7 linked regions of the Macaca fascicularis genome follow. The protein of the gene in region 1 interacts with the protein of each later gene in a biochemical or structural test. Links are inferred from orthologs where the notes say so. Each region holds a gene or a part of one and is shown in the gene's direction. Other genes may lie near its edges. The genes, in order: XIAP, MAP3K2, PGAM5, TLE3, HTRA4, SEPTIN4 and CASP9.

Evidence for each region.
Region 2: of the proteins of XIAP (region 1) and MAP3K2, one has a biochemical effect on the other in vitro, tested with the Homo sapiens proteins (2 studies listed by BioGRID, with this or other methods). The link is inferred for Macaca fascicularis from reciprocal best matches to the Homo sapiens genes XIAP and MAP3K2.
Region 3: the proteins of XIAP (region 1) and PGAM5 form a complex in vitro, tested with the Homo sapiens proteins (2 studies listed by BioGRID, with this or other methods). The link is inferred for Macaca fascicularis from reciprocal best matches to the Homo sapiens genes XIAP and PGAM5.
Region 4: of the proteins of XIAP (region 1) and TLE3, one has a biochemical effect on the other in vitro, tested with the Homo sapiens proteins (2 studies listed by BioGRID). The link is inferred for Macaca fascicularis from reciprocal best matches to the Homo sapiens genes XIAP and TLE3.
Region 5: the proteins of XIAP (region 1) and HTRA4 form a complex in vitro, tested with the Homo sapiens proteins (2 studies listed by BioGRID and IntAct, with this or other methods). The link is inferred for Macaca fascicularis from reciprocal best matches to the Homo sapiens genes XIAP and HTRA4.
Region 6: the proteins of XIAP (region 1) and SEPTIN4 form a complex in vitro, tested with the Homo sapiens proteins (4 studies listed by BioGRID, with this or other methods). The link is inferred for Macaca fascicularis from reciprocal best matches to the Homo sapiens genes XIAP and SEPTIN4.
Region 7: the proteins of XIAP (region 1) and CASP9 form a complex in vitro, tested with the Homo sapiens proteins (12 studies listed by BioGRID and IntAct, with this or other methods). The link is inferred for Macaca fascicularis from reciprocal best matches to the Homo sapiens genes XIAP and CASP9.

The regions. Positions count from the first base shown.
Region 1 is NC_088395.1:130,112,987-130,116,486, forward strand, and holds part of XIAP (E3 ubiquitin-protein ligase XIAP), read left to right. Parts: intron 1-2,900; 5' UTR 2,901-2,932; coding exon 2,933-3,500.
Region 2 is NC_088386.1:4,230,352-4,233,851, forward strand, and holds part of MAP3K2 (mitogen-activated protein kinase kinase kinase 2), read left to right. Parts: intron 1-480; coding exon 481-610; intron 611-1,731; coding exon of another isoform or gene 1,732-1,778; exon of another isoform or gene 1,779-1,912; intron 1,913-3,500. UniProt on the Homo sapiens protein: Component of a protein kinase signal transduction cascade. Regulates the JNK and ERK5 pathways by phosphorylating and activating MAP2K5 and MAP2K7. Plays a role in caveolae kiss-and-run dynamics.
Region 3 is NC_088385.1:139,825,960-139,830,251, forward strand, and holds the start of PGAM5 (serine/threonine-protein phosphatase PGAM5, mitochondrial), read left to right. Parts: upstream 1-1,492; 5' UTR 1,493-1,527; coding exon 1,528-1,718; intron 1,719-4,292. UniProt on the Homo sapiens protein: Mitochondrial serine/threonine phosphatase that dephosphorylates various substrates and thus plays a role in different biological processes including cellular senescence or mitophagy. Modulates cellular senescence by regulating mitochondrial dynamics.
Region 4 is NC_088381.1:46,846,964-46,849,857, reverse strand, and holds the end of TLE3 (transducin-like enhancer protein 3), read left to right. Parts: intron 1-15; coding exon 16-123; 3' UTR 124-2,394; downstream 2,395-2,894. UniProt on the Homo sapiens protein: Transcriptional corepressor that binds to a number of transcription factors. Inhibits the transcriptional activation mediated by CTNNB1 and TCF family members in Wnt signaling.
Region 5 is NC_088382.1:42,378,548-42,382,664, forward strand, and holds the start of HTRA4 (serine protease HTRA4), read left to right. Parts: upstream 1-1,317; 5' UTR 1,318-1,357; coding exon 1,358-1,823; intron 1,824-2,125; coding exon 2,126-2,225; intron 2,226-3,639; coding exon 3,640-3,844; intron 3,845-4,117. UniProt on the Homo sapiens protein: Serine protease.
Region 6 is NC_088390.1:48,192,036-48,195,318, forward strand, and holds the end of SEPTIN4 (septin-4), read left to right. Parts: intron 1-941; coding exon 942-1,076; intron 1,077-1,189; coding exon 1,190-1,307; intron 1,308-1,396; coding exon 1,397-1,498; intron 1,499-1,691; coding exon 1,692-1,788; intron 1,789-1,881; coding exon 1,882-2,044; exon of another isoform or gene 2,045-2,199; coding exon 2,200-2,299; intron 2,300-2,553; coding exon 2,554-2,613; 3' UTR 2,614-2,783; downstream 2,784-3,283. UniProt on the Homo sapiens protein: Filament-forming cytoskeletal GTPase. Pro-apoptotic protein involved in LGR5-positive intestinal stem cell and Paneth cell expansion in the intestines, via its interaction with XIAP. May also play a role in the regulation of cell fate in the intestine.
Region 7 is NC_088375.1:219,615,784-219,619,283, forward strand, and holds part of CASP9 (caspase-9), read left to right. Parts: intron 1-426; coding exon 427-574; intron 575-3,500. UniProt on the Homo sapiens protein: Involved in the activation cascade of caspases responsible for apoptosis execution. Binding of caspase-9 to Apaf-1 leads to activation of the protease which then cleaves and activates effector caspases caspase-3 (CASP3) or caspase-7 (CASP7).

The DNA.
Region 1 (3,500 bases):
TATAGGCATGAGCCATTGCACCCGGCCCTTTTTTTTTTCTTTCTTTCTTTTTTTGAGATGGAGCCTCACTCTGTTGCCCAGGATGGAGTGCAGTGACATGATCTTGGCTCACTGCAACCTCCGCTGCCCGGGTTCAAGGGATTCTTCTGTCTCAGCCTCCCGAGTAGCTGGGATTACAGGTACCTGCCACCACGCCTGGCTAATTTTTGTATTTTTAGTAGAGATAGGGGTTTCACCATGTTGGCCAGGCTGGTCTCAAACTCCTGACCTCAAGTTATCCGGCTGCCTTGGCCTCCCAAAGTGCTGAGATTATAGGCATGAGTCACCGCACCCGGCCTATGCACCAGATATTTTTAAAAAACCAGATGTAAGACTTTACACTTACCCCTATTAAATGTTATCTCATTAGCCTATCAGGTAGCTTTGGTTTTTTACTTTTATTTTATTTATTTATTTATTTTTTTGAGACAAGAGTTTCGCTCTTGTTGCCCAGGCTGGAATGCAATGGTGCGATCTCCGCTCACTGCAACCTCCGCCTCCTGGGTTCAAGTGATTCTCCTGCCTCAGCCTCCCAAGTAGCTGGGATTACAGGCATGTGCCACCACGCCTGGCTAATTTTGTGTTTTTTAGTAGAGACGGTTTCACCATGTTGGTCTAGCTGGTCTCGAACTCCTGACCTCAGGTGATTTGCCCACCTTGGCTTCCCAAAGTGCTGGGATTACAGGCGTGAGCCACTATGACCGACTGGTTTTTTTCTTAAGACTAGTCAAGTGCAGAGTGAGAAGAGGGAAAAGAGTAGAACAAGGGGTTTGATCAGCCTTGGTTTCTTTGAATCTTGATTTTTGTCATTCGGTTTATTATGCTGATTCAACAAAGGGCCCTGAAGCTAATGTTGGAATGTTTTCAGACATCTAGGAAATGATAATTCATCAAAAGTCATGGAGACTATTCCAAAAGTTTTATGCAGATATAACTCAGCTGTTGAGGTATGAGTTAATACCACTATAAGTTGACATGGCCAGGAAAGACAAGTCCATTGCCAACTTGCTTTGTGTTGAACATTACTCCAAAAGAGATTAAATTCTAAGACATATTGTGTCAACATAAAGGCAAAAGAGCTGGCTAATTCTTCTCAAGAAATCAATGGCTCGACCTTTTGGCTCATGCCTGTAATCCCAGCATTTTGGGAGGCCGAGGCAGGGGATCACCTGAGGTCGGGAGTTCAAGACCAACCTGACCAACCTGGAGAAACCCGGTCTCTGCTAAAAAATACAAAATTAGCTGGGCATGGTGGTGCATGTCTGTAATCCCAGCTACTTGAGAGGTTGAGGCAGGAGAATCGCTTGAACCCAGGAGGCAGAGGTTGCAGTGAGCCAAGATCACACTATTGCACTCCAGCCGGGGCAACAAGAGCAAAACTCCATCTCAAAAAAAAAAAAAAAAAATCAATTAATGCACATATAATATAGAGACAGAGTCCTTGTTACCATTATTTTGCCTTTGACAAGTTTATATTGAGCACATTATCAGGCAATGTGGGAGATTCTGGAGAACCAGGTTTGCCTCATAGCTAGGGTTACCATATGCTCTAGTTTGCCTGGGGCAACCCTGATTTATGCCTGTTGTCCCAGTGTGATTATTGCTAGTGTGATTTTTCACTTTGAGAAGTGTCCAGGTTTGGAAGATAAATTATCTTGCTATCCTTCTCATAACCTAATGGGTTCTCTTTAGTATTTTATCTGGGTTAAAATTACACAGCTGTAATTTGGCAGCTCTAATAAGACTGCAACAATACTTATCTTCCATTTGAACAGATTGTTACTTGACCAAGGGGAAGTTTTTTTTTTTTTTTTTTTTTTTTTTTTTTTTTTTTTTTTTTGAGGCGGAGTCTCGCTCTGCCGCCCAGGATGGAGTGCAGTGTTGCGATCTCGGCTCACTGCAAGCTCGGCCTCCTGGGTTCACGCCATTCTCCTGCCTCAGCCTCCCCAGCAGCTGGGACTACAGGCGCCCACAACCATGCCCGGCTAATTTTTTGTATTTTTAGGTGAGACGGGGTTTCACCCTGTTAGCCAGGATGGTCTCAATCTCCTGACCTCGTGATCCGCCCGCCTCGGCCTCCCAAAGTGCTGGGATTACAGGCATGAGCCACTGCGCCTGGCTACCAAGGGCAGTTAATAGCAAAAGTAACTGCAGGGCACATGTATGTCATGGGCAAAAAAAAAAAAAAAAAAAGCAATTAAGGTTTGCAGGTACTTAGAGTTTCTCCTGAGCCACTCTCTAGAGGGCAGTATTACATATATATCTGTAATTATCCAGTTACAACAAAAAAGGGGATCTGGTTCATGCATGAAAATCAGAAATATTTCATACTCTTAAAGAACACATTGGAACCAATATTATGATTAAAACATATTTTGCTAAGCAAAGAAATATTAAAATTAATTCATTAACATTCTGAACATTTTTTAATTTGTAAAAACTGAACTTTGATGCCTTGAATATATAATGATTCATTATAACAATTACGCACAGACTTTAATAATCTGCATATTTTATGCTTCTTTCATGTTTTTCCTAATTAATGATTTGACATGGTTAATAATTATAATATATTCTGCATCACAGTTTACATATTTATGTAAAATAAGCATTTAAAAATTATTAGTTTTATGCTGCCTGCTTAAATATTACTTTCCTCAAAAAGAGAAAACAAAAATGCTAGATTTTACTTTATGACTTGAATGATGTAATGTTAAACCCTAGTATTTAGAATTAGAATGTTTCTTAGCAGTTGTGTAGTTATTTTTATGTCATAAGTGATAATTTGTTAGCTCCTATAACAAAAGTCTATTGCTTGTGTTTCACATTTTGGATTTCCTAATATAATGTTCTCTTTTTAGAAAAGGTGGACAAGTCCTATTTTCAAGAGAAGATGACTTTTAACAGTTTTGAAGGATCTAAAACTTGTGTACCTGCAGACATCAATAAGGAAGAAGAATTTGTAGAAGAGTTTAATAGATTAAAAACTTTTGCAGATTTTCCAAGTAGTAGTCCTGTTTCAGCATCAACACTGGCACGAGCAGGGTTTCTTTATACTGGTGAAGGAGATACCGTGCGGTGCTTTAGTTGTCATGCAGCTGTAGATAGATGGCAATATGGAGACTCAGCAGTTGGAAGACACAGGAAAGTATCCCCAAATTGCAGATTTATCAATGGCTTTTATTTTGAAAATAGTGCCACGCAGTCTACAAATTCTGGTATCCAGAATGGTCAGTACAAAGTCGAAAACTATCTGGGAAGCAGAAATCATTTTGCCTTAGACAGGCCATCTGAGACACATGCAGACTATCTTTTGAGAACTGGGCAGGTTGTAGATATATCAGACACCATATACCCGAGGAACCCTGCCATGTATAGTGAAGAAGCTAGATTAAAGTCCTTTCAGAACTGGCCAGACTATGCTCACCTAACCCCAAGAGAGTTAGCAAGTGCTGGACTCT
Region 2 (3,500 bases), on another chromosome or scaffold:
TGTCCCTCAGGAAGCATTTTATTTCTGTCTTTTAAAGGGATGATTACTCAAACTTGTACATTGGAATCACTAGGGAAGCTTTTTCAAAATTCAAATACCTATGCCTCACTTCAGACTGATTCAGCTTTCTCAGAGATGGCACCTTATCCTGCCCTAAAAAACACTTGAGAAAATCTGAAGTTCTCCTTTTGTGTATGTTCTCATGTTTCGAACTTGAGTGTTGAGTTTTTTCTTATATAAAGAAAAAACTTTAAAATGTCATATATGTTCTTTCTAGTTATACCCATTCCTTTTCCTGAGAAAATCAGCAGATGTCAATAAAATACTTTAAAAACAGAATAAGAACAAAATAAATAAAATTCAAGTAGGACATGCTTAGACAAGTGAGATGAGAATTCCTGGCCTCTTTACCAATAAAGATTTAATAGCAGTTTTCATTTCAAACCATATACAGTAGTTGTTGTTGTTGTTTTCTCCTAGGGTTCAATTAAGGACCAATTAAAAGCATATGGCGCTCTTACTGAGAATGTGACTAGGAAATACACCCGTCAGATTCTGGAGGGTGTCCATTATTTGCATAGTAATATGATTGTCCATAGAGATATCAAAGGTAAGTAATGAGGTATTTTCTATTTTAAATAGACAGTTCTTTGTGAATGTGAATGAAACAAGTGATGTGGATAAGACATTTAACATTAATTCATCTATCTCTGAAACAGGGAAACAGTTCTCTTGCTTTCTTGTGAACTGCATCAGTGTTTTATCACACCAGTCCTGTCTCCCCAAATGGGTAGCTCTACTGTGGGGGCTCACAGAATCAGTAAAGTTTAAGAGACCATACAAGTGAGATCATGTTTCATACATATTACATAGGCATTAGGACAGGCTGGCCAAGAGTAGGAGCCCTGCTGCCAGGTGGCCTGATTCAGATTCGGGCTTTATCCACACTGTGTGACCTTGGACAAGTTACTCAGTCTCTCAGTTCCTCTTTCTTAAATGATGGAGATAACAGTATCCAGCTCATAGGATTCTCTAAAGGAGTAAATGAGTTAATGCATGCAATATGCTTAAAGTAGTGCCTGATACCTAAAAAGCTCTTAAAAGTTAGCTATGATGACATACTTTATCTTGAGATCAAATTTGAGCTAGGAGGAATGGATGTCACTAGCTTGGGAAAGAAGGAAGGGGGGGAGAAAAGAACCCCAAACTGAGCTCTGATGAACTCCAACTATGTCAAACTGACATCTTGAATGTGCTTCAAATCCTAGAGAGGGGAGGAGGAGTGGTTGGCAGTATGGCTGGGGCAGGGTCATCCAGATGGATGTTGAGGCTGGGTGGTGGCTGAGCATGCTGCTCTACCTTTGTGTATGTCTGAAAAGTCTCCTTAATAACTTACTTTTGACACATCCAAAATAAGTTTTTAGAAACTTATGCTGGAGCCTGGCTACCCATTTTCTCTTTAGCCCTTCTTCTGGGTAAGCATTGGTTCAACATTGGTGATTCCTCCCCAGAGACAGCTTCCCCTGTCTGTGACCTGCCTTGGACTGTTCCTTCCCCAATCAGAGCCCTGCTTGTAGCCAGTAAAAAATGGGCTTTGTTGTCCTTCCACTGGTTAAGTATTCTAGAGATGGTGGCTTTTTTGACAGTCTTTCTTAAAGTATTGGATGGTAGGAAATGTTAGACAGTGCTTTTTTAGAAGATCACTAATGTCATGGCATGTTTACACTTAAGGTGTGCAGAGAATGAACTCTGGACTATCCTCTGGAGAGAGGCTTTAGGGAACCATCATTGACTAGACTGGGGAATTTGCTGGGAGAACAGAAAGACAGGTACGGAAGCCCCATGATAGGGGTGGGGTCTCTTTATCCTCTCCAGTCTGTAAAGTAGCTTTTCTCCACTATTCACTCTCCTCCTTAGAGATCATTTTTTCAGAAAAGGGTAAGAGAACCAAGAAAATGAATATCTTTGTAATATAAAATATGATTAAGGTTATGGAAGACTTAAAAATAAGAAATGAAGTAAAATTTTAAAATTAAAATAATTAAAATTAGATAATAAAATAAATGGCTTATTTAAGAATAGGTAAAGAAAAAGTTAAAAATGAGAAGGTCCAAAGTAATGAAGGTTATGTGGAGAAAAATGAGAAGCGAAATGATTTATAAAAGACAGAAACTAGATTTATAATCCCAGAAAAAATAGAGTTTTTAAAATGGTAAGAGTGAAAATAGAGAATAAAAAACAAATTAGCCTAGTGCCCATAGCTTGGTTTTTTGTTTTGTTTTGTTCTGGTTTTTTGTTTTTGTTTTTTTTGAGACAGAGTCTCACTTTATCACCCAGGCGGGAGTGCAGTGGCATGAACTCAGTTCACTGCAGCCTCAGCTCTCTGGGCTCAAGTGATCCTTCAGCCTCAGCCCCCAAGTAGCTGGGACTACAGGCTCACACTACCATGCCCAGCTGATTTTTTTGTATTTTTTGTAGAGATGGGGTTTCACCACGTTGCTTAGGCTGACCTCGAATTCCTGAGCTCATGCGATCCACCCGCCTTTGCCTCCCAAAGTGCTAGGATTACATGTGTGTGCCACTGCACCTGGCCGATGATCTTGTTTTTTAATACTATTCTCCACTGAAAGGAACTAGGCCTCCTTGAGAAATGGCTGATTTTAGGACTGGTGCAGGAAATATACAAGATGAGCCTGGAGCATCTTCCAGTGCCAGAAAGCAAGAAAGTGCTCAAAAACAAAAGCAAGAATACAATGATGGGGGTATGGCAAAGGGACACAGAGCCAGTGGAAAGAAGCTCCAGTGGCTGAAACTGATAAATAGCAGGAGAATAAAGCATTACTGGATTATAACCCAGTGTATAAAACAAATATCCATGTTCATAGTGATGTAAATGAATGATTTAATAAATATGTGGGAGAGGGGAGACAAATCTCTTCTGCAGCATAACTCCAAATTTATGTAGCTACTCAGCCTGGAGCATAACTCTTTACTCCTTAACTGTGGGCTGTGTGTGGCAAATTTCTTCCAAAGTATGGAAAGGGTGGGGGACAATGACTTCACAGTGGAGAACCTGACAAACACTATCTCAAGCCAGGTGATCAAGGTCAGCATCAACAATGGTGTTGACAGTATGTGCCTTTAATATCGTATGATGAGAATGGCAGTTTACCTGTGGTCTTCCCCCAAAAAACTTACAGCCCCCATTATGAGAACATGGGACAAATCCTAATTGAGGGACATTCTACTGGTCCCTCAATTAGGGAAAACCTGACCCCAGTACACCTCAGAAAAACACGTGTCATCAAAAACAAGGAAAATTTGAGAAAGTATCCCCCCTAAGAGGAGCCTGAGGGGACATGATGACTAAGTATGGCGTGGGATCCTGGTTAGGATCCTGGATCCAGAAAAAGGGTATTAGGGAAAAACTGAGGAAATCTAAGCAAAGTATGAACTTGGTTAATAATATTTCAGTATTGGTTTATTAATTGTGGCAAATG
Region 3 (4,292 bases), on another chromosome or scaffold:
ATCATGCCTGGCTAATTTTTTTTTTTTTTTTTTTTTTTTTGAGACGGAGTCTCGCTCTGCCGCCCAGGCTGGAGTGCAGTGGCCGGATCTCAGCTCACTGCAAGCTCCGCCTCCCGGGTTCACGCCATTCTCCTGCCTCAGCCTCCCGAGTAGCTGGGACTACAGGCGCCCGCCACCGCGCCCGGCTAGTTTTTTGTATTTTTTTAGTAGACGGGGTTTCACCGTGTTAGCCAGGATGGTCTCGATCTCCCGACCTCGTGATCCGCCCGTCTCGGCCTCCCAAAGTGCTGGGATTACAGGCCTGGCTAATTTTTGTATTTAGTAGAGACGGGGTTTCACCATGTTGGCCAGGCTGGTTTCAAATTCCTGACCTCGGGTGATCCACCCGCCTCAGCTTCCCAAAGTGCTGGGATTACGAACATGAACCACTGAACCTGGCCAATTTTTTTGTTTTGTTTTTTTCAGAGTCTCACTCTGTCACCCAGACTGGAGTACAGAGGCACGATCCTGGCTCACTACAACCTCTCCCTCCCGGGTTCAAGCGATTATCCTACCTCAGGTTCCTGAGTAGCGGGGAATACAAGCGCGCACCACCATGCCAGGCTAATTTTTTTGTATTTTCAGTAGTGAGGGAGTTTCACCATGTTGGTCAGGCTGGTCTCGAACTCCTGACCTCAGGTGATCCGCCCACCTTGGCCTCCCAAAGTGCTGGGATTACAGGTGTGAGCCACTGCGCCGGGCCCAATTTTCCTTTTTTTATGTTATTAATTTTTTTTGAGACAGGGCAAGCGTCCAGCAATGGGTAAGCGGTGGGGTCGGTCCACACAGGCGTCCAGCAATGGGTAAGCGGTGGGGTCGGTCCACACAGGCGTCCAGCAATGGGTAAGCAGTGGGGTCGGTCCACACGGGGAGCGCCGGTCCCCCTGGAAGGAAACCCAGGCTCTAACGAGGTTCCTCTGAGGACCCTGCTAAGCGAAATGCGCCGGCCACAGAGGGACTATCCCGCAGGAGGCCGGGACCAGAAGTAACAGCCCGGCCGAACCTGAACGCACTTCACGCCGCTTGAACCGCACACGCAGGAACGGCGCCGGCGGAAAAATTTATTTCGGGTTCTGCCACCAAAAACATATCCTTTAAACAAACCTGCCGCGGTTTCCCAGCTCCCTTAAACCAGGGCCCCAAGTTCTCCTCCGAGTCTCCGCCCCGCACCCAGCCTCGAGCCTGGGCAGGGCTTCCGGTGCGGAACCTTCTGGAAAGCACCGCACCGCCCTCCCGGCGTCTCCACAGCTCCGCCCGCACCTGCGCGCACCGGCGTTCGCGAGCACCAGTGACGGGACGGAAGAGTGACGGGGCAGGCGGCTCCGCGAAAACACCCCTTCGCTGAAGGCTGCCCAGCGCCCCGCCGCGCCCCAGGAGGCGGGACTTCCGTCCCCGCTTCCCGGAAGCGGCCTCCCGCGGAAGCGTGTCCCTCGCGGAGCGCCGTCGGGGCTGTGGGCGCCTGCGCGGGCCGGCGCGGGAGCGGGCGGCATGGCGTTCCGGCAGGCGCTGCAGCTGGCGGCCTGCGGGCTGGCAGGGGGCTCGGCCGCCGTGCTCTTCTCGGCCGTGGCGGTAGGGAAGCCGCGCGCGGGCGGGGACACGGAGCCACGCCCGGCTGAGCCGCCGGCCTGGGCGGGGGGCGCGCGGCCGGGCCCCGGCGTCTGGGACCCCAACTGGGACAGGTGCGCGCGGGGCTGGTCGGGCCTGGGGTCGGGATGGGGGTCAGGGCCGGTGTTACCGTTGGGATCGGGATCGGGACCAGGTTCAAGGTTGCGATCGAGTCGGGATCTGGGGTCGCCGTCCGCTTCCCCCGGCGAAGGAACCGCCTTCCGGGGCCGCTCTGCGCTGAGGGTTCTGGGGGCGGCGGGCCCTTCCCGCCGGCTTCTGTGGGCCGAGCTCCGCCTCATCGTCGCCCTTCTCTCCGCCCCTGCGAGTCCGTCCTGGGTGCCGTCGCCGGAGCGCGGGCCGGGGCGAGGCTGGGGTGGAAGCCGGGCCTCCTCCAGGGGCGTTTGCAGGAGGGCGCCCGCCAGCCGCGTGCGGTTAATGAGCGTTTGAAATATGGCCCGTGTGATTCCTGAAGGGAATGCTTAGTTTACGTCAATTTAAACTTAAGCAGGCCGGGCGCAGTGGCTCACGCCTGTAATCCCAGCACTTTGGGAGGCCGAGACAGGCGGATCACGAGGTCAGGAGATGGAGACCATCCTGGCTAACACGGTGAAACCCCGTCTCTACTAAAATACAAAAAAATTAGCCGGGTGCGGTGGCGGCGCCTGTAGTCCCAGCTACTCGGGAGGCTGAGGCAGGAGAATGGCGTGAACCCGGGAGGTGGAGCTTGCAGTGAGCCGAGATCCCGCCACTGCACTCCAGTCTGGGCGACAGAGTGAGACTCCGTCTCAAAAAAACAAAAACAAACAAGCAAAAATAAATAAACTTAAGCAGGGCCGGGTGCAGTAGCTCACGCCTGTAATCCGGGCGTTTGGGAGGCCGAGGCCGGAGGATCGCTTGAGCCCAGGAAGTTGAAACCAGCCTGGGCAACATAGGAAGACCCCCATGTCTACAAAAATTACAAAATAAGTTAGCCGAGCGAGGTGGCGCGCGCATGTGGTCCCAGCTACTCGGGAGGCTGAGGCAGGAGGATCCCTTGAGTCCAGGGGTCCCAGGCTGCAGTGTGAGCCGAGATCCCGCCACTTCACTCTGGCCTAAGCAACAGAGCCTGTCTCAAAGGAAAAAAAAAAAAGTGCAGGTTTTTAACATTGGTTATGTGTTGAAATAGTATTTTTAGCATATTGAATTAAAAGTATGATCGAAATTCACCTGTTTCTTTTTAATGTTGCCGTTAGAAAATTTATAATTTTCACATGTTGCTGGCATTCTGTTTCTGTCGGCCAGGACTGCTCTCGAGGCAAGGATGGTTTGCCCAGTCCTAACTGCTCCTTATACTCAGTATTCTGAGAAAGGGGCACAGAATTATACTTACTACTGTGGTTGTGTTAAGTACTTTATATTACTTTTTTTTCTTTTGTTAACCTTATTTCCTCTATTATTAGCATCATACACTAAGCGTGGTATATATATCAAAATTAATGAGCCGTAACCCATACATTATTACTAAGGTTCATGTTTCACTGAGATTTTCTCAGCTTTTACCTGCTGTTCTGTTCTAGGATCCCACATGACAAGCAATCTTCATGCCTCCTCAGGCACGTTTTGGTGGTGATAATTTCTCAGACTTGTTTCGATGATCATCACTGTTTGACGCATCCTGGTCAGGGGTTTTATAGAAGGTTCCTCAGTTGAGATTTGTCTGAAGATTTTCTCATGATTAGATGGGAGTTACATTCTTTTTCTTTCTTTTCTTCTTTTTTGTTTGAGATGGATTTTCGCTCTTGTTGCCCAGGCTGGAATGCAATGGCGCAATCTTGGCTCACTGCAACCTCCGCCTCCTGAGTTCAAGCGATGCTCCTGCCTCAGCCTCCCGAGTAGCTGGGACTACAGGCGTGCACCACCACGCCATCTAATTTTATGTTTTTAGTAGAGACGGGGTTTCTCCATGTCGGTCAGGCTGGTCTTGAACTCCCGACCTCAGGTGATCCACCCACCTCGGCCTCTCAAAGTGCTGGGATTACAGGCATGAGCCACCATGCCCAGCCCATTAAATTCTTTTTTAAAAATCAGTAAAATATTCTGAATTTCTTAGGCCTTTTTAAGGAAAGAGATTAAGGTTAAAGAACTTGAAGTAGGTTGGGTGCAGTGGCTCACACCTGTAATCCCAGCACTTTTTGAGAGGCTGAGGCGGGCGGATCACTTGAGGTCAGGAGTTCGAGACCAGCCTGGCCAACATGGTGAAAGTCTGTGTTTACTAAAAATACAAAAAAATTAACCAGGCATGGTGGCACACACCTGTAGTCCCAGCTACTCAGGAGGCTGAGGCAGGAGAATCACTAGAACCCAGGAGGTGGAGGCTGCAGTGAGCCCAGATTGTGCCACTGCACTCCAGCCTGGGCGACAGAGGGAGACTCTGTCTCAAAAAAAAAAAACTTGAAGTAGAACCAGGAACTGAGCCCAGCCTTTCTCTTTTAAGCAGGTGTTCTGTATTTGCTTGCCATGTCTGGGGAGAAGTGAATTGGGCCTTGTGGGCTGGGAAAGACTCGTACAGACAGAAGGCATGAGCAACTACAGGAAGGTGCTAGAAGACAGCGTGTTTCCTCTTGAGTCTGGTGTCCACGCTGTAAAGTTCCAGAGCCTCATCTGGTGAA
Region 4 (2,894 bases), on another chromosome or scaffold:
GTCTTCCTCCTCCAGTCTAAAGAATCCTCGTCTGTCTTGAGTTGTGACATTTCGGCGGATGACAAATACATTGTAACAGGCTCTGGTGACAAGAAGGCCACAGTTTATGAGGTCATCTACTAAACAAGAACTCCAGCAGGGCTGTCAAACTCTGGGAGAAACCGACTCGGCTCTGACAGGGAGACCCCCAGGCGAGGGGCCCTGAGGATGGCGGAGGATGGGCCGCAGGCAGCCGCGCGTTCGGGGCTGCGCTCCGGCCGGCTGAGAGGGCGCGTGCCCCATCACGATCTGGACTTCTGGGCCTAGATTGATGTGTCTCACAGACTCGGATGGGTTCTGCTCCTCCTCCTCCCCCTGAACAATGCTGGCAGTTGCTACAAATAGATTTATTGGAGGCTTATGGCTCCGGTTCCCCACAGACCCGCTCATGAGTCTCTTTGTTCTTCCCCTTTCTTTTGCCCTGTGCCCCACCTTGGGTCGGGGATGCTGGCGTGGACCACATTGTTGTGCTGGGGGAGGGGGTCTCTTTTTGCCGATTGTGCAGTGCACAAGTTTTGTGAAAAATGTAAATAACAGACTCTCCTATTGCGGACTGACCAGTGGGAGAGGCCCCCTTCCCACCGGAAACTCTGACCGTGTGTTTCGCCTGCTGTATTTGTAATCCACTCGTGGTGGTGGCTTTTTTTTTTTTTTTTTTTTAAATAAACAGATGTTCTCACCTGGGAAGAGGAGACAGGGAGAGGAACCAATTGAAGAATAAGGAGAAAAGTCTTAGATTGTGGAAAAGGCAACCAGGTTGGCCGCAAGGTACCTGCTGGAATGCCTGTCCGTCCACACGGGTCTGGGCATCTGGACTGAGCACCAGCCGGCCAGACTGAGGGATGGAAGGCACTGAGATGGGGGCCTGTTCGGGCAGACGCCTGCAGAAACAGAGCTTTCTGTGGTCTCTTGCACTCTGGCTGCCTCTTGCCCTCTCTGTGTCTCTCTTTCTTGGTCTTTCCCTCTCTCCTCCTCAGCCTGGTCTTTCTCTTTGGTGCACACTTAGTTATTGTTATGAGCAATGGAAGTTCAAAGGAACTCCCTCTCCAGCTCTTCTGAATCTTGGGACACAGCCTAAAAAGGACAAAAAGTTAGAAGACAGCATAGCAACTCAGCTCAGGGAGCTACCAGAGAAAAATAGCAACTGATGTGGGTGCTTTTTTTTTTTTTTTTTAATTTGAATAAAAAGAATTAGAAGTGATGTCCTTTTATAAAATGCCTTCTCCCCCTTCCTGCCTACAGCCTCTTCCTCTCCCCTTAGAGGGGGGAAAGTGTTTAAACCTACAGGGTTGTGAGTCTGAAAGGAGGATCTCCCTCACCTCCGCCCTGGGCAGGGCAGTGGGGGTTGGGGGCTGGGAGAGGGGGACACAGATCTGGCACACTGTGGATATTTCTTGCAGATTGCAGTCTCTCGTGGCCCAAACAGGTTAGGTAGACTATCGCCTCTGGCAGGTGCCACCTTTCGGTACCATGTTCTGAGGTGTTAGGATTTGGGTTGTTTTTTTGTTTCTTTTCCTTTTGGTCTTTTTTTCTTATTCTTCTTTTAAAGAAAAGCTAAAGGCCGCTGTGAGTCCTGGTGGCGGGCTCTCCATGGATGTAGCATATCGAAGATAATTTTTATACCGCATTTTTATGGATTATTTTGTAATGCGTGATTCCGTCTGCTGAGGAGGAGGGAGGGGCTCCAGGGAACGCCACCCACCTTCAGTGAGGTTGCTCCCCAGCTGAGCGCACCGGGCATGGGATGTGGAGGCTGGCGCCACACCCTGTGCCTCTCCAAGGCTGGGCGCATGGGGCATCCGGAGTCTCTCTGGGCCTCAGATGTCCGTCTGCCACCTCTTGCTAAGGCTCTAGCCAGAAGGGAGGGTGAGGGTAGAAGAAAGTTATTCCTGAAGAAAAAAAGAATGAAAAGTCATTGTACTGAACTGTTTTTATATTTTTAAAAGTTACTATTTAAAGGTTGGTTTGATTGTTGCGTCTTAATTGCCTCAACCCCCAGTTTGTCAGTCCCCCCCGCAGGAAAACAGCCAGGCCAGTGTCGCTCTCACATTCTGGAGCCTGGGCCATTTCCCGTCCATGTGAGCTCTTCTTATCTCACAGCATTCCCACGCGCTGCTCCCCCCGCCCCCCAGATACCCAACAGCGCAGCGGGGGTTTCACAATCCCACACTGCGTCACCTCCCATCCAAGCGCCAGAGAGGGTGTGGGGTAGGAGCTAAGACTTCCTCTGGACAGATGGACAGGGCAGAGTTCACTGAGGGGAAGGAAGACCACAGGTTAACACCAAAGTATTGTACAGCTGTCAATGCAAAACTTTTTTGGAAAAAAATTAAATGTAATGAACTTGAAGCGAAACTGCAAAGTGTCTTTGAGCATCTGGACCCTGGAAACCTGCACCATTTTATTTTAAACTTAACATGTTTAGGTGGGACAAGGAGATCTTCCATCTCTAGTTCACAAAGGCGTGTTTTTGGATGATTCAGAAGGAAGCATTTGCAGAAGGGGCAGACCCAGAAATGCAGGTCATTGTCCCCAGGGAGGGAGTTGGGGGCTGGGAGGGAAGAGGAGAATGCTGGTGCCCATTCCCAGGGGCGGTACCCAGGCGCTTGGATTTCGTGCACCCATTAGCGAAAGCGCTCAGGGCACTGGAGATTAACATGATTTCCAACTCCTTATTTTGTCAAAGTCATTCTCAATCAGCACAATTGCCTGCTGTCATTTCATACAAGAAAGGGAATCTAACATTAAAAAAAAAGAGGAATGACAATCTCAGCATACAGCCCAGTCTTTATGACTAGAAAGGACAGCTGGCCTCTCTCCACACAGAGGGGTCATTTAGCTCGAGAGGGAGGTCC
Region 5 (4,117 bases), on another chromosome or scaffold:
TGAGTATAAATATACTCTTATATGGGCTAAAAGGACCCCATGAATAAATAGCAGGTTCAGTAGTTGAGGGGTAGAATTTAGTAGGTTTGTTTTCAGCGTAAATCAGATAACATATGTGGAGGTCACAGCATTTTGGAAATTGAGTGTCCCCAAGTGAGCTTTGTTTATAAACTTTAGACATGTTGGAAGTGGACAGGTTTGTTAAATCTTGTCTGCCAGCATCGTTTTCTTCCTTTGTTCCTTTTCCCTCTCTGTGTTATTGCCTGCGGCAGCCAGTCCTTTATACTAGATAGAGTTCAGATAAAGCAATGTTTGGCAAAAACATACTGTTTGACCTCCTCCCCCTCTGCTTATGAAGGGGTAGCATGATTCTGTGTTTTAAAGCAGTGATGTTTCAGCTGTGAAATGCACTGGCAGTAAGCACTAGGCTGAGTGCATGGAAACTGTTACGCTTCTCATTTTATGTGATCTCCTAATTGGTATGTAGCAAAACTTTTCTAAAACTGTTTTGTGGCTTGTTTTGTAATAAAACCATGTGAAATACTGAAATATGGCCATGTGTTTTTCTAGTACCTTCTGACCACGGGTGGGTGAGCTTTCTTTTTTTTTTTTTGAGACAGAGTCTTGCTCTGTCGCCCAAGCTGGAGTGCAGTGGCACGATCCTGGCTCACTGCAAGCTCCGCCTCCTGGGTTCACGCCATTCTCCTGCCCCAGCCTCCCGAGTAGCTGGGACTACAGGCGCCCGCCACTGCGCCCGGCTCATTTTTTGTATTTTTAGTAGAGACGGGGTTTCACCGTGGTCTCGATCTCCTGACCTTGTGATCCGCCCGCCTCGGCCTCCCAAAGTGCTGGGATTACAGGCGTGAGCCACCGCGCCCGGCCAAAACTGTAGTCGGCAGGATTCGAACCTGCGCGGGGAAACCCCAATGGATTTCAAGTCCATCGCCTTAACCACTCGGCCACGACTACCCGCCTATATAAATATTAAAAGTGCTCCAGGTGAGGATCGAACTCACAACCTCGGCATTGCTCCGCTTGCACTGTCATATAAGTACCGCGATCAGTCTGCCCCCATTGTCTGTTTTAGGGATTTCAGGAGGTAGGTTCCTCCTCCGGGTAGGGCTAGAGACCTTCCCCTCATTGCCTGGGGGAGAACCTGGCTCCGGGGAGCGGACAGGGGCGGGTGGTAGGGGATGTACGGGTGTGTATGTGGAGAGGTATGCCAGGCTCTGCCCCTTAAAGTTTGGGGGCCGGCGGAGGCGGCGCCATGGCCGGGAGAAAGTGTCTCTCATTTAGGAGCGTTTGCAGGTCCAGAGTGAAGTCACTGAAGAGTGGAAGCGAGGAAGGAAGGAGCAGGATGATTAGACCTCAGCTGCGGCCCGCGGGGCTGGGACGATGCCTCCTGCCAGGGCTGCTGTTGCTCCTGGTGCCGGTCCTCTGGGCCGGGGCTGAGAGACTACATACCCAGCTGGCCTGCCCCGCGGTCTGCCAGCCCACGCGCTGCCCCGCGCTGCCCACCTGCTCGCTGGGGACCACGCCGGTGCTCGACCTGTGCCGCTGTTGCCGCGTCTGCCCCGCGGCCGAGGGTCAAGTCTGCGGCGGGGCGCAGGGACAGCCGTGCGCCCCGGGGCTGCAGTGCCTCAAGCCGCTGCGCCCCGGGCTCCCCAGCACCTGCGGTTGCCCGACGAAGGGAGTGGCCGTGTGCGGCAGCGACAGGCGCACCTACCCTAGCCTGTGTGCGCTCCGGACCGAAAACCGGGCCGCGCGCCGCCTGGGCAATATCTCGGCCGTGCCTGTGCAGTGGGGGGACTGCGGGGATACAGGTGAGCCGCGGGGGGCGCGCACCCTGGGGACACTTTCTAACTCTGGAGGAGCGTAAAGGAACAAGACCTCACTGAGATCGCATAGTTCGCGCGGGGTCCTCCTGCGTCATTTGCCTCCTGGATTCGACCCCTCTCTGTTCCTGATTTCCTTTCCTCCATAACAGGGGCTCTTTACCTTCTGCTACGTGGATTCTCCCTCACCATGCACCTTTTGAACACTGACTTGCCTTTAACATTTTCCCAACTAGGATAGCAGGTCTGGTTCGCTCGAGGCGTACTCTTGACCCAGTATTTCTTCATAGGGAGCAGAAGGGCAGGCCCGCTCAGGAGGAATTACAACTTCATCGCCGCGGTGGTGGAGAAGGTGGCGCCATCGGTGGTTCACATGCAGCTGTGGGGCAGGTAAAGGAGGAGGAGGAAGACCTCCACTGTCCCAGCTAATGGTTTCTGCGTGCCTACCTACTCCAGACCCTTCGCAAGCGTCATTTAATCCTAAAACACCAGTGAGGAAACTGAGACATAAAGAGGTTGAATAACCTGTTCAAGGTCATTTAACCAAAGAGCAGAGGCACAAGGATAACTTCCAAATCCGAGCTCCCCCTGCCCACTTAGGTGGCTGGTGCTTTTTCTCCGTCCTGCCACAGACAAAATTTAAGGTCAGATGTAAGAGCTAGTAGGCATTTTCTTTTCTTTTTTTGAGACAAGGTCTTGCTCTGTCGCCAAGGCTGAAATGCAATGACAGATCATGGCTCACTGCAGCTCCATCTACCAGGCTCAAGTAATCCTCCCACCTCAGCCTCTGGAGTAACTGGGACTATAGGCAGGTGCCACCACACCCAGCTAATATTTGTATTTTTTGGAGAGACAAGGTATTTTTGTATTGCCCAGGCTGGTCTCAAACTCTTGGACCCAAACGATCTGCCACCTTAGCCTCCCAAGGTGCTGGGATTACGGGTGTGAGCCACCACATCCAGCTTAGTAGGCATTTTGGTTGTGATCTTGCTCAGCCCCCACTTTGGAGGCAAGGAAATCCAGACCCAGAGAGCAGGGTTAATTTGTCCTATGTTACGAGGCCAGTTGGTGGTGGAAACTAAGCCAGAATCAGAGCCCTTTGATTCTCTCCTGCCTGGGTCCTTGACACTGTGGTACGAGGCTCTTACTTTTGCCTCTAGTATTAGGATTGGGTTCAGCCTTTTCGCAGCAGAGAACCCATGGGCTGCTACACTAACCAACTCTGAAGAGGCAGTGTCCCTGGAAAAGGAGAGCTGGAGCCAGCTCTCAACCATGCTCACAAGAGATGGCTGGGGCCCTGTGGGTGCCAAGTCCATTGATACATGGAGAAAATTTACGCATAGCCAGGGAAAAGTGAAATGTCTGAGAAAACTGTGATGGAAGTCTGGGCATGGTGGCTCACGCCTGTAATCCCAGCACTTTGGAAGGCCGAGGCGTGTGTATCACCTGAGGTCAGGCGTTCGAGACCAGCCTGGCCAACATGGTGAAACCCTGTCTCTACGAAAAATACAAAAATTAGTCAGGCATGGTGGTGCATGCCTGTAGTCTCAGCTACTCGGGAGGCTGAGGCAGGAAAATTGCTTGAACCCGGGAGGTGGTTGCAGTGAGCCGAGATTGTACCACTGCACTCCAGCCTGGGCAACAGAACGAGATTCTGTCTCAAAAAAAGAAAAAAGAAATAAAGAAAAGAAAACTGTGATGGAGGTATGTTTAATAAGAGTGAGGTTCCCGTGACTCTCAGATGATATGGCTGTATCCCCTAACTTTCTTGCCCTCTGTCTATACTATTGTCTTGTGGAGACAGGTTACTTCACGGCAGGATGCCTGTTCCTGTGTACAGTGGCTCTGGGTTCATAGTGTCTGAGGATGGGCTCATTATTACCAATGCCCACGTTGTCAGGAACCAGCAGTGGATTGAGGTGGTGCTCCAGAATGGGGCCCGTTATGAAGCCGTTGTCAAGGATATTGACCTTAAATTGGATCTTGCGGTGATTAAGATTGAACCGAATGTGAGTATTTCAGGGCTGAGTCAGAGTCTGCATATTTGGAGATTTTTATCTATTTGCTGGTATTTTCTGCCCCACTACACTCTCACACCACATCTTTTCTGTCAAATATATGCTTTTCTCTGGTTTCTTTCTGTTCTTTACTCCTTCTTATTTGCTTCAGTGCCTTTCTATATATCCCTTACCTTTTCTTTTCTCTTTTCTTTTCTTCTCTTTTCTTTTCTTTCTTCTTTCTTTTTGAAACAGTTTCCCTCTGTCGCCCATGCTGGAGTGCAG
Region 6 (3,283 bases), on another chromosome or scaffold:
CTAGTTTCTTCATGTATGAAATGATAGTGATGATGATCATAATGCATAATGTCGACCTGTCAGGGCAGTGAGGATTAAACAAGATAATAGAAGAACAAAGGATATGAAAATTGAGGTTCTTGGGGGAAATTTATTTATTTGTTTTGCTCTGTAGTGAAGACAAGGGGGGAGCAGTGTGTATTGGTATAGTAAAAGGAGCCTTCATGGAAGAGATGGTTCTTAGGGCCTTGAAGGATGGAGTGGGTTTGGAGGTAGAGGAAAGGGTAGAAACACATGAGCAAAGAGGTTCTGAGGTTACACTGGAAACCTGAATTAGAGTTTCCCTGGCTTCCAGTTGGTATTTGCCTGCAGCCACCTTGCTATTCTTTTTTTTTTTTTTTTTTTTTTGAGACAGTCTGGCTGCATCACCCAGGCTGGAGTGGTATGATCTTGGCTCACTGCAACCTCCACCTGCTGGGTTCAAGCAATTCTCCTGCCTCAGACTCCCGAGTAGCTGGGACTACAGGTGCACACCACCACGCCCAGCTAATTTTTGTATTTTTAGTGGAGACGGGGTTTCACCATGTTGTTCAGGGTGGTCTCAAACTCCTGATCTTAAGTGATCCACCCGCCTCAGCCTTCCAAAGTGCTGGGATTACAGAGGTGAGCCACCGTGTCCAGCCTATTCTTACTGCTTTGTTTGATCACCTGGGCCCTTTCCCTCTCATCAAGCTAGCATTTATTAAACTTGCCTGAGTACTCAGTCTAATTTTGTATCAGGACATGTGAGATACACCCCATCCCATTCAGGAATTTCCCTAAAGATTTAGTAAAGTAAGCCAGGGAATAACAATGTCTTAAAAACACTGCTCAGAGAGTGGGCTACTACTTCTCTGTAGTCCCAGAGCTCACTAGGTGGCTCCCACTCTCACAGTTTCTCTGCTTGTCTGTCCCTGCCCCAGCTGGAAGCCTGTGGCAGAATACATTGATCAGCAGTTTGAGCAGTATTTCCGAGATGAGAGTGGCCTGAACCGAAAGAACATCCAAGACAACAGGGTGCACTGCTGCCTGTACTTCATCTCACCCTTCGGCCACGGGTATGGTCCAAGCCTGAGGCTCCTGGCACCACCGGGTGCTGTCAAGGGAACAGGCCAAGAGCACCAGGGGCAGGGCTGCCATTAGCAGGTGGTCACAGATTCCTGTTCCCCAGGCTCCGGCCATTGGATGTTGAATTCATGAAGGCCCTGCATCAGCGGGTCAACATCGTGCCTATCCTGGCTAAGGCAGACACACTGACACCTCCAGAAGTGGACCGAAAGAAACGCAAAGTGAGGGAAGCTGGTGGTGGGAGGGGATCAGGTGGGCTTCTAGAAAGGACGTGGTCCCCAGAACTGTGGGCCCCTCATCTGTTTGTCAGATCCGGGAGGAGATTGAGCATTTTGGAATCAAGATCTATCAGTTCCCAGACTGTGACTCTGACGAGGATGAGGACTTCAAATTGCAGGACCAAGCCCTAAAGGTGGGGCCACTCTAGGGCATCCCCTTCCCATCTTGTTTCTTCTGGGTAGAAAAAGGGAGTAGAATTCTATATTCAGGCTATCAGGGTGGAAAGGACCCTGGCTTCCTAGAGTGAAGCAGAGAAGATGACGATACAGGTGGAAAGAAAGAGGTGAGAACAGAGGGTGCTGACAGGCACCCCTAACCTCTTCCAGGAAAGCATCCCATTTGCAGTAATTGGCAGCAACACTGTAGTAGAGGCCAGAGGGCGGCGAGTTCGGGGTCGACTCTACCCCTGGGGCATCGTGGAAGGTAAAGCACTGAGCCTGTAACCAGGGTATCTCCTTGCCCTCTGTGGCTCTCCCCTACCTATGCCTCTGGCTGACCCCTAGCCTTGCTATGCAGTGGAAAACCCAGGGCACTGCGACTTTGTGAAGCTGAGGACAATGCTGGTACGTACCCACATGCAGGACCTGAAGGATGTGACGCGGGAGACACATTATGAGAACTACCGGGCACAGTGCATCCAGAGCATGACCCGCCTGGTGGTAAAGGAACGCAATCGCAAGTATGACCAGAAGCCAGGACAAAGCTGGCAGGGGGAGATCCCAAGCCTAGCCTTGGGTGAGACCAAGCCCTACTTTTGTTCTTCTATAGGCCCTGGGCTTAATCTAAGTGGGTGCTGGAGTCCTCCTAGCCTTATCAACCCTTTTCTCCCCTTAGCAAACTGACTCGAGAGAGTGGTACCGACTTCCCCATCCCTGCTGTCCCACCAGGGACAGATCCAGAAACTGAGAAGCTTATCCGAGAGAAAGATGAGGAGGTGAGAGCAGTATGGGTAGGGGAGGTCCCCTGTTTGATCACCAACGTTGGTATCTCTTTGTTTGGTAATAGAAAGATCCCTGGCTCTGGTGCATATTTCGGTCCTAGATAGGTCAATAGGTGGTTCTGTCCAGAGTCTCTATCACACCTCACGGCTACCAAGGTTCTGGCTTAAGGGATTAGAAATTTGGGGCACTTCCCCAACACTAAAGGACTCTTCAGAAGGCCGCATTTTGATGCCTGTGCCTATTCCAGCTGCGGCGGATGCAGGAGATGCTACACAAAATACAAAAACAGATGAAGGAGACCTATTAACTGGCTTTCAGCCCTGGATATTTAAATCTCCTCCTGTTCTTCCTGTCCATGCCAGCCCCTCCCAGCACCAGCTCTGCTCAGGCCCCTTCAGCTACTGCCACTTCGCCTTACATCCCTGCTGACTGCCCAGAGACTCAGAGGAAATAAAGTTTAATAAATCTGTAGGTGGCTTCTGGTGTCCCTGTGTGTATTTTTATGACCTCCTGGAGATCAAGACCCTGGGACCCAGTTTTGAAAGGCTAATGGGAGAAGATGTTGGTTTCTGGCTTTTAGTAGGGAAGGGAGAGTGGGGAAACTTTCCACTTCGTTTCCCCTTCTAAGTCCCTGCTTAGAATCCAGGCTGGCTTCTCCATCTTAACGATCATATCTATCATGCCTCTATTATCTGGGGTCTGGGTCTCTCTCCATCTTTCACACATACAGTACCTTTGGTAACAGAAATATCCCTGGCTCTGGTGCATATTTGGGTCCTGGATAGGTCAACAGGTGGTTCTGTCCAGAGTCTCCATCACACCTTAGGGGCTACCAAAGTCCTGGCTTAACGGATTAGAAATTTGGGGCACTTCTCCTGGCTAACACAGTGAAACCCCATCTCTACTAAAAATACAGACGGGCGAGGTGGCGGGCGCCTGTAGTCCCAGCTACTCGGGAGGCTGAGGCAGGAGAATGG
Region 7 (3,500 bases), on another chromosome or scaffold:
GTTTGAGCTGAATTGATTTAAAGCAGCCACTTTCAGCATTGAGCTGCCTCAGTCAGAGGGGCCTGGAGGACCAGACTGCTGATTAGGAGGTCTGGGTGGGGCCCGGGAATTGCATTTCTTACACGTTCCCAAGCCATATCGATGCTGCTGCTGCAGGGGCCAAACTTTGAGAACCACTGGTCTAGAGGCCACAGCCAGCACTCTCCAGGCACACTGTCTGGCCCCTAGAGGCACATGAGTTTGAGATGAGACCCCTGGAATAGATGCTGACTAGGGTCTTTCTAGAACCAACCTGCTCTGTCTCAATCAGCCTCATGCCCCTGGCTTTGACCTTCCAAATCCTTGGCCCCCACAAAACTTCTGAACAGGCTGTTGGATTCCTACTCCAACTTCTTGGTTTTGTAACCAGGGTTCTTGGTCTTCTAGGCCAGCCACCTGCAGTTCCCAGGGGCTGTCTACGGCACAGATGGATGCCCTGTGTCGGTCGAGAGGATTGTGAACATCTTCAATGGGACCAGCTGCCCCAGCCTGGGAGGGAAGCCCAAGCTCTTTTTCATCCAGGCCTGTGGTGGGGGTAAGCAGCTCCTTGGCCTCCCACTGGGTGGGTCTGATGAACAGGGAGCCACCACCTGCTTCTTTCTCCAGCCTGCCCCTCACAGAGCCCACGAGGTCTCTCCAGGCAGTCAGAGGGTACCACACGTGGTCCGTTTTTGGCAGCACCTCTGCCTGGCTGGAGCAGGCCCCGCTCTGTCGGCTCTGTAGAGGTTGGAGTCTTCAGTTTCGTGGCACAGTGGCATCATGGGCTCGTGTAACTTTGGCAGCTTCAATTCCAGAGACTTGGCAAAAAAGAAACTAAACAGAAGAGAGAGGAGAAACCTCTTTTTATTTTTCTTGTCACCATTCCCCTGACCTCCATCAACCAAACCCCGTTTCCACTATCCCAGAGAAAGGGTGGCCACAGCTAAACTGCACGGAGAAACCAAAGAATTTAATTATTGGAATTTTCAAAAGCGTAGTTGTGGGGGTTCGAGGAATGTTTAGGGATTACTTGAGCTGGGCACAGTGTCTCATGCCCAACAGTTTGGGAGGCCAAGGCAGGAAAATTGCTTGAGCCAGGAGTTCGAGACCCGCCTAGGCAACACAGCGAGACCCTGTCTCTATTTTTGTTTTGTTTTTTTAAAGAATTACTTGGATTATTTGTAGTTTTGCTATATGCTCTGATTTTAAACTTAACTCCTACTACAGTGTTACCTGATTTTCTTATAAAAAAGAGGGAAGAGAGGGAAACATGGGGATTCCTGGCTTGTGGGTCATGACAGGAATATCAGGGAGCACTAGAAATTCTGTCCCAGGGAGTCCCCTCTGCCCTAGACTCTCCACAGACTGGGACATTCAGAACGTATATCAGTTCCTTGCCTCCAGCCTGATCTGCCAGAGAAGCAGGCACTGTTACACCATAGTGCTGTCCAGCTTGTCCAGCTGTGACATGGGCACCTGTGGTGTATTTCTCCTGCGCACATCCAACTGCCCCATCCCTATTCCACGTTGGCAGAGTTGGGTGGAGGCTACCTAGGAGAGCAGCCTCTGGTCACATCATTCATCCAGTAGGTGTTTACTGAGCACCAGCTGTATATACCAGGCTGTGTGTTAGGTGCTGGGGATAGGGGAAAACAGAGTTTCAGTCTCCTGGAATTTATAATTTGACATGAACTGTATTAAATCACTGTCATAACCCATGCCCATAACTTGACCACAAGTGATTGAGAACACTTGATTAAACCCTGGATCGGCTACTGACCTGTCTATCACATAATCCTAGGCCAGTTCATCTCTAGACATCTCAGCAAATGGGGAAAATAACAGAACCCACTCCCAAGCTCAGGTGATCCTCCCACCTCAGCCTCCTGAGTAGCTGGGGCTACAGCTGCCCACTACCACACCCAGCTGATTTTTCTTTTTTTTTTTTTGTAGAGACAGGGTTTTGCCATGTTGCCCAGGCTGGTCTTGAACTCCTGGGTTCAAGTGATCTGCCCACTTCGGCCTCCCAGAGTGCTGGGATTATAGGCATGAGCCACTGTGCCCGGGCAACTTTAATAATATTTAATGCACTAATTGGTGTGTGTACAGTGACTGATTCATTTTAATAACTGAAAACCCAGACTGCTCCCCACTCCCACCCCGGAGTACCCAGTGACACATAAGAGCCCCCCACCCCACTGCCGCCAGCACAGTTGCCTCAGGACAGCAGTAATAGGAAGCAAGGAAGGCTGCCACTCTCGGGGCTATAGAAACCCTGCTCTGCCTCACCTCCTGTCTTGTCCATAGTGTGTGGTCCAGCAATGCTCTTCCTCTGGAGCCTGCGCTCCCGCTTTCTCGTATGAATCAAATGAAAGACAGAAAGGGCAAGGGAATTAGGAATGCAGGCTGAGCGGGCATACCTGCTTTCTGGACGGTTAGCTGTTCTTGTGCTCCTCCCATGCCCCATCCAGTCTCAGTCTCAACAGCGGAGGGCCTTTGTCACTTGAATATCTGCTGTCACTCTTAGGACTCAGTAGCAGGGCTTCCAAGGGCTTTGGTGACCTGGCCCCTGCCATTTCACCTCCCCCAGCCTGACATGCTCCAAGTCCCCCAGCATGGCCCAGCCTTCACAGGATGTCCAGGCTGTTGCTTGCTCTTCTACCTGATCCCCTGGCTAACTCTGTTTTTAAAATTCATTTTTACTTATTTTGTTTTAGAGATGGGGGTCTCACTATATTGCCCAGGCTAGTCTTGAACTATTGGGCTCAAGTGATACTCCCACCTCTGCCTCCCAAAGTGCTGGGATCACAGGCATGAGCCATCGTGCCTGGCACCTGGCTGACTCTTAATCATCCATCCTTCTGGTTACAATTTATTGTCACCACCTACAGAAGGTCTTCCCTAAACACCCCCTTTCTTGGCCAAAGTCAGGGTTAGCTGGCCTTTGTGCTCCTGCAGCCTCTGTCCCTCCCCTGCCATAGCACTGTCTCATTGTATTGAGCTAGGTCTGTCCCCTGGTCAGCTCCGAGTAGAGGGCAAGGCCTACCCCACAGCCAGGCCCCCAGCCTGGCACAGAGCCCACAGTCCCGTTGCACCTCATGTGAATTCTAATTTGAATTTAAAGGAGAACCATATAAAAGCATCTATGTGGTTCATGCCTGTAATCCCAACAGTTTGGGAGGCCGAGGTGGGAGTATCTCTTGAGACGAGGACTTTGAGACCAGTCTCTATAACAAATTTTGAAACATTAGCCAGGTGTGGTGGTGTGTGCCTATGGTCCCAGCTACTTGGGATGTTTAGGCAGGAAGATTGCTTGGGCCCTGGATGTCGAGGCTACAGTGAGCCATGTTTGCCTTATTGCACTCCGGCCTGGGTGACAGAGTGAGACCCTGTCTCTAAAAAAAAAAAAAAAAAAACCAAAAAAAACTATGAGCCAAATTTGGCATAATGTAGATTTCCATCATTAAAACAAAAGTCAGAAA